Stegostoma tigrinum: one gene and its partner. The protein of the gene in region 1 purifies or fractionates together with the protein of each later gene. This does not show direct contact. Links are inferred from orthologs where the notes say so. Each region holds a gene or a part of one and is shown in the gene's direction. Other genes may lie near its edges.

What was found. The genes of interacting proteins can lie anywhere in the genome.
Region 2: the proteins of peptidyl-prolyl cis-trans isomerase FKBP5-like (region 1) and akt1 purify together in Homo sapiens (affinity purification with western blotting; 3 studies listed by BioGRID, with this or other methods). This does not show direct contact. The link is inferred for Stegostoma tigrinum from reciprocal best matches to the Homo sapiens genes FKBP5 and AKT1.

The regions. Positions count from the first base shown.
Region 1 is NC_081374.1:42,890,293-42,894,045, reverse strand, and holds the start of peptidyl-prolyl cis-trans isomerase FKBP5-like, read left to right. Parts: upstream 1-856; 5' UTR 857-1,078; coding exon 1,079-1,189; intron 1,190-3,753. UniProt on the Homo sapiens protein: Immunophilin protein with PPIase and co-chaperone activities. Component of unligated steroid receptors heterocomplexes through interaction with heat-shock protein 90 (HSP90).
Region 2 is NC_081363.1:42,991,928-42,995,680, reverse strand, and holds the start of akt1 (RAC-alpha serine/threonine-protein kinase), read left to right. Parts: upstream 1-1,362; 5' UTR 1,363-1,469; intron 1,470-1,563; exon of another isoform or gene 1,564-1,862; intron 1,863-2,078; exon of another isoform or gene 2,079-2,136; intron 2,137-2,264; 5' UTR 2,265-2,336; coding exon 2,337-2,382; intron 2,383-3,753. UniProt on the Homo sapiens protein: AKT1 is one of 3 closely related serine/threonine-protein kinases (AKT1, AKT2 and AKT3) called the AKT kinase, and which regulate many processes including metabolism, proliferation, cell survival, growth and angiogenesis.

The DNA.
Region 1 (3,753 bases):
GGCTTTGTTTTTTTATCAGGTTAGAGAGAAATGCCAACATCACAGTACCGTCTGTTCATTATCATATTGCTTCTTATTGTGAGTTTGATGTCTGCAATGCTTTCGACTTTACAACAATGGCTTCACTACAAAAGTATTTTATTGACTGTTTTGGGATAACTGGTGGTCATGAATGATGTTACATAAATGCAAGTCTTTATTTGAAGACACTACTTGAAAGCTGCTTCTTTGGCAAAGCCTTCGATCATTCGTCCTAATGGGTTGTTATCGGATCTCTCCTGTAGCTATTTAGTTCGAAATAGGTTCAGTTTTGTTTTCGCCTTCTATGAACTCTCTATTTTATCTCAGGCGTTCAACACGTTGCATTAAAACATGGGTTTCGACTCGAGTCTGGGTCCTAACCTCAGAGAGCTGTTACAAATAGAAAACCATGCAGCCAGAGCTCCTGTTTGTTTGATTTGAACTTGCAGTAAATGGGGCTTCATACCAGTAACATCATCCATATCACCTTTGTCGTTCATTGTTTTTGGAATGCTCTAAGACAAATCTCCTCTCAACTTGAGACAGCGCTTACGTGTCTTCAGGTCTGTCACAGGAAGCCAACCCGTGTCCTCCATGAATTTCACTGCCTATTTGCTCATTGTAATCTCTTGATCCCATCAATGATACATCTAATGATACTCCCTTTCTTGCAATTCTCTCTCGCTGGGATTCCCCCTTTCCCTGGGACTCCCCCTCTCTCTACACCTCCCCCTTTCTCCCCATCCCCATTGAGCAGTTGGAAGCCCCACCTCCTCTGACCTCGCCCCATGACGGCTATCCCCGCACCAGGACAGGAATAGGCCACTTTCACCCGCGCCACGAATGCTGGGATAGAGCTGTCTCCATATCTCCCGGAGAGCGGCGCTGAGAGGAGGCAGAGCGACAAGGAAGCGGCTCGGACACCGAGCTCTGCAGGAAGCAAGCGGAGCGACACCAACGCCCAGCAGTCTCCTAGTGGCCATAGAGCTGAGAGAGAGAGAGAGAGGCTGAGGGTGCAGCAGTTCGTGGAAACCAGTAAGTCGTACGCTTTGGCTGAATGATGACCACGGGTCAGGAACTAAAAGAGACTGAGCAAGAAGCCCAGGCTACGGAACTGGACCAGATAGCCGAGGACCTGACACCCAACCAAGACAGGGGGGTGCTTAAGGTAACAAATACAGGCATTTTCTCCGGACATTGAGAGAGAGAGAGAGTCGGACTTTCAGATGTATGGCTTTCATTGAAAAATCATCATTCATTTTAAAATTAACATAAAAGTTAGACTGCCCGTCTCAGAAAGTGACTAAAAATTAAATGAAGCAAATTCTAGACTATTTATTCACATTATATTGTAACTTTATCTGTCATAAACTATTTTGTTTCAATAGTGCAGCAGTGGTTGTCTAGCTAGTCCCATCTCAAAAACTGTTTCTGCTGTGGTTGGATCAGAAACGTACTAAATACGACCTTTTATATTATACATAGCCTACCCGCTTCGTGTGACTAAACCCACTCTGATTGGCACATTCTGTATGTCAAATAGATCAAATGTAGATTTTTTTAAACTCCATGTTTACAATTTCTTTCTCCATAAACTATTGAATGCCCACTCCGTTGTGTCCCTGACCGCTTTATGTTAACGTAAAGCCGAGACATTCCAGCCAATCACAATCGGGAAGTTTCACCGAAGTCTGGGGTGTTACTGAAATGTGAAACGAGAACTAGAGGTGATCGATGTTATTTTGATTTAATTCCGCTCCGAACAGCCCCTACTGTTTAAGACAGTCGCAGGTCCCCGGGCCCATTTGCGAAGCTGTGTGTACAGTCTGCACTCAGGAACCATTCCCAATTCCTCATGACACTGACATTCGCTGCAGATTGCTCTCTGGCCAGAGTCAGCGGTTCATCGAATTTTTTTCTGTCCCAACCGCCACTCTCTCCTTTCACCTCTTTCCAGCCCACTTTGGAGACTGCACTCAGAGCCTCCTCCTGTTTACTCTGGACTCCCGATCGCCAATTGAAACTCCAACTTTGTCCATTTAATGCATAGTGCTCTGAAGAAGGGTCACTGGACCCGAAACGTTAACTCTGTTTCTCTCTCCACAGATACTGCCGGATCTGCTGAGTCTTTCCAACAATTTCTGTTTTTACTTCAGGGCGTATGCACGATGAAGGACCTTTAATGTACGTACAGCATTCAAGCTGTCATCGCAGGTCCAGATGCGGAACCAGAGAGTAGTTTTGTTTTGAAGTGAACCCCAGCATTAGCCCCCGGCACCCCTCCCACCCCAGCCTATCCTCAGACTTTCCTCTTGAACTCCGGCTACAGCTCTCAAAGCCCTGGCTTTCTCGCATCACATGAACAGCACAGAGATGCGCGCCAGTTCAGGGAAGTGCGATATTTGTGGGGAGGAAGGAGTTGCACGCTGACATTACCAGAGAGAACAGAGTAAACCAGTTAGAGTGGAGCTGTTGAACTTACAGATTTGTTTGGTCGCTGTGTCTTCTACGGCTGGGGTCGCTCAGTGTTGCTGTTGAGTCCTACCTCCCTATAGACGTCAATGTGGTGGAGATTTGATGTCTCACCGACGATGACACGATTGTGTTACCTTTGGGTTTCACAGTACCTTGTACTCCATTTAGCTCTCTCAGTAATTCATCTCACTTCTGTTTTTACCCCGATGTCAATATTCAAGGTTTCATTTGTTGCTGTTATTCCAAGATTGTTGATGCCAGTAGGATTATTTTCAATAAGAGTGCTGGCATGTTTTGGGTAATTCTGGATCTGAGTGAATAAACAGTCTTAATGCCTCAGTATGTTTTTCTCGAACCTCAGTTCAATAATCGTATAGTGAGTGAAGCTGATACCAGGTAGAGTTTTATCATCAGTTTAAACATGTTTTTTTTCTCCATCTTGAATTAACTAACCATCTCAAATATCAACCTGCAAAACTCAGGTATGCCCTGTGCCTGACAAAGTGAATCTGATTAGTGATGACTTATGGCTCATGTGTCCATCTGACATCTTTCCATTGTTATTTAATGAGATTTAATTGTTGTTCTGGTAATCATTCCAAATTGCACCTGCCCTGACTTCAAAATGTCCCAAAACAATTTTGAAAGAGTGTGTCTCACTATAGCAATGTATTAAAATCAATTGCCAATTTGTACAGCGCAAACATTCACAACCAACAATGCGATAATGACTAGATAATCTAGTTTAGGTGTTGACTGTGGGATAAATGCCTGCTTGAACATGAGGGACACCTGCCCTCACTCTTTGAAATAATGCATCCTGTCTGGAGATTCACTCCACTGGTACTACTACTGAAAGTCAGCATTCATAATATAACATCCTGGGGTGGGAAGTGAAACCTCGATTGTCCAACTCAGAGGTAAGTTTGCAACTAAGGCCGAACGAAAGTTTCAGAGTAACTTCCAGTCAGCACCTGATTCATTTCTGTGTTTTGTATGTCTGAGTTCCTGTGGTGGTGGGGCAAAATCCCCTCCTGTGGCTCTCTCAAAGTTTCTTGAACAATTCTTTTTTTTTAGTGCTGTGCTGTTTTCATTGTACATTCTGAGTTGCTGTTCAGTTTTATATATATAGCATTTCTTTTATATAAAAGTTGCATACTCATTTTACATTTCCATCATTGACTGTCTTTAACTCTCTTCCAGCTTGAAATGTTGTGGTCCTTTTCAAAGAAATGATCCCTTTTGAACATTACTTTT
Region 2 (3,753 bases), on another chromosome or scaffold:
AACCTTTCTTTCATGTTGCCCGGTGTTCCTGACAAACGTACCTGTTGCTCCTGTGTTTGTCTCAGCATTAACTCCCTTGTTGCCAACATCAATGGGCTCCTCCCCTGGGTAGTGTGGGCAGGTGCCTGTTCTCCAATGCCAATGACCTGGGGCATTTCTCAGTCAGCTGCACAGACCTAGGAGTGACATGCTCATCAGCAGATACTCCCACATCTAGTTGAAGCATTCACTGAGGGGGCAGTACCTGAACTAGTGGATAGGTACATGAGGCTGCCTTGCTGGTATATCCTCTGAGGCAACATGCTACTTTGCTCAGAGATGTGAGGAATGTTGACTATGGAGACCATGCTATTGCTGTTTATATCTGCAGGATAGAAAGGAGACAATGCATTGTGAACAAGGAGTAAAATTTCTAATGTGTTGCAAAGTCATTCACAGTGATGTAATGTAGGAGTAGCACAGGAATAGAGATTGCTTTGTATAGAAGACAGCGAGAAAAGTTACCTCAGCGTACGACTGGATCTTGATCAGATGGGCCAATGGGCTTAGGAGTGACAAATGGAGTTTAATTTAGATAAATGTGAGTTGCTGCATTTTGGAAAGGCAAATCTGCGGAGGACTTATACACTTAATGGCAAGATCCTGAGGACTGTTGCTGAACAGCAAGCCTTGGAGAGCAATTTCATAATTCTTTTAAAATACATTCATCACAGGTGGGCAGGATGATGAAGAAGGCATTTGGTATGCTTGTCTTTATTGGTCAGTGCATTGAGTATAGGAGTGGGAGGTTATGTTGCAACTGTACAGCACATTGGTTAGGCCACTTTTGGAATACTGTGTGCAATTCCAGTCTCTCCTTCTGCATTGTTAGGTGTTTCTCCAAACTCTGGAGTCCACTGATCCAGGTGGCAACCTTATAGGCAGGTAGGGTCTGGTTCCAAGATCACCTCTACCAGGCTGGGGTTGGAGGACGGCCCTCCTCAGCAGCATGCTATCGACTAAAGCTTCCAGGTCCCCTGGTCTACAAAGTGAGGTAGCAATTTTCCATTACCTGCATCATCCGGGGCAAATATCATTGATTACACAGGGCAGCACTGGACTGCCAGCTCTAGATAGGATGCACAATGAGCCGGTGCCAGTAGTCCTGGGACCAATGCTTCTGCTTACTGTGAATTGGCTAGCACTGGCTGTCATGGGCATGGTACCTGGTCAGTGAGTAAGTTTGGGATTGACAGACCTCTCTGGGAGAAACCCTCCATGAAATTTGACAAAATTTCCACAACACAGTCCTTTTACTTAAAAAAAATCTTCAATCTAATCCCACCTGCCAATGGAAACAATGATTTTGTTGACTATCCACCACAATAGTTTGCCCCTGTTATTGACTGTTCTCTGCTGGTCGAGGGGTTAGTCTGAAAAATGGCTGTCCGAGTCGTTGATCTGCTCAGTGTCACGTGCAATAGTAGCAGGTTAGTTAATTTTTGAGCCCAAGCAGTTCTTATCTCATCAGTTTCTGTGAATTGTCTGCTGTCAGTTATGATAGTTACTTTAATGCTAGTAGTGAGTCTCAGTCGTTACTTTCTTCACTGCTGTTAATTGCCGGAGTCGTTGAATTTGTTGCGGAACCTACCGATTATTGTATTTACTGCTTGTTAAGGATGTAGAGCTCGCCTGGGCGTTGTGTAGCCCCCGTACTGACGTGCTGGGGAGACTAAGCCAGCCTAACGTCACCCATTCTCGCACAAGGAAGAAGCTATCACACCGTTTACTGCAGTTCAGCGCCTTGCGAACCTTAGTTATGATCCGGAGCTAAACATAGGGGCAATACAAAGAGGTCGGGAGCCGGACCCGACTAGCTGCAGGTAGGAAAGCAAGCCTCAGGGTAAACCTTTCACTGAGGACGGTCCCAGCGCCTACAGGCCTGCCTCAGCTTTAGGCCTGTTCCCATTTGCCTGTCCGGAGATGTTAGACTGGTCTGCCCCCTGCCCTGGGCTTCCCTCCCGGCCAGCCGCCTCAGGAGCCGGGGAAGCCGCTTGTCCTGCGGCTGTGCCCGGGGAACAGGATGCTAGCTGCCGATGCTCCGCCAAGCGCGTTACGTTCTCTGCCATTCATTAAAATCAGTTCAGAGTCTGGACCGTAAGTTCATAATGGCCTGGAAATCACTGACTTGTACGTGAACGCCCACCTTGTCCTAACCCACGCAAGCTTGCTAACTGATATAATTACCTGCTACTTACCCTTGCTTTTTTCTCCCTTTAACACAGGTTGCTGTGAAGAATAAAGGGTTTCAATCAGGAACCTTCGAGTCAACTTACTTTTAAATCTTTTGTATCACTATGACTGAAGGTACAATCGTGAAAGAGGGGTGGCTTCACAAAAGAGGTAAGATTTTGTAATTGATTCCAGTGGAAGTACACAACACTCTTCTTTCCACGTGTTTAAACAGACATTTTACTATTGTCTAGTTTTAACAAGCAGAGTTGGTAAACAACTGTATTCCTATCAAAGTTTGCAAGAGAGCATCTTGATTTGATATAATTTGCTACAGTAACCCTATTTGATCTTATGGTATCGGTTAAGGGTTTTCTTCTGTAATGTCAGAAGCACTGTCCATAAGGTGCATTTTTTGAATTGTATTATTGATTATGTTTGGTGAAAATGGTAACAAATATAGGCACTTAAAATGTTGAATTGTGAATTAAAACCTCCTTGCTGCATTTACAGTATTTAACACAATAATACTACTGTCAATATTAATAAATAATTTTATTGTACAAAACACTATCTTGCAATAATTTTCACATGCCAATACTATCTAAGTCCCCAGTTATGGTATAGACCTTGAGTGCAGTCTGAATAGGAGGTTCTAACATAAGTACAAATACTGGAATTGAGCTTTTGTGCAATGATGGATGTGGTTTACTCTCCACTTCCTGACATGAATGAATGCCTTTTGAATGATGAAGACATGTCATTTGCCACTCCAGCAATTTCACCACATTTTTACGGTGGAAAAACTGACTCCATTGAGTTCAAAAACTGACATATAGACTCTTTAATCGCGCATTGAAAAAGTTCTATGTTTACTTTGTCAAGAGTACTTGTAATAAAATATTATTGATATGCAACTGATTACTTTTATTATATCACTTGGAGGAGAGTATTGCATTGTGAAATGCTGTCATCGCAATTAATTTCATGGGAGGTATGTCCTTATAACAAATGCCGCACAGTGTATGAAAAGATTCAAGCACATTTATACATTACAAGATAGGATATCTGATATACACATCATAATATTACCAAGATGTGTATATGTATTTTGAGGAAATGTTTTTAGATATATATGTCACTTTGTTAGAATGGCATATTACTTTTTACTTTTATACAGTGCTGCTTAATTTGTGGCAACTGCTATACAATATAACCAGTTGAAGCATAAACTGATGAAAACTATTACTCAATATTAGATAGTAGATGTTTGTGTAGTAATATTTGGGAAAAAAATAGAAATACAAACTTCATATTTAATCAAAATTGTAGTGATAGTGGGCATAAAAACATTTTATCTAGGATAAGTAATGTTGAGTGTGTCCCATTTAATGTAATGGTTTATTTGATACATTTCTTGAAATTAATTTCAATCAAAATATTAACCTTTGAGATTTTAGTATAAATGGGTTCATTTAACTGGTAGGTTAAAAAAGAATTTCTGACATCTATAATTACATAAAATAGTTGAACGATTGGACT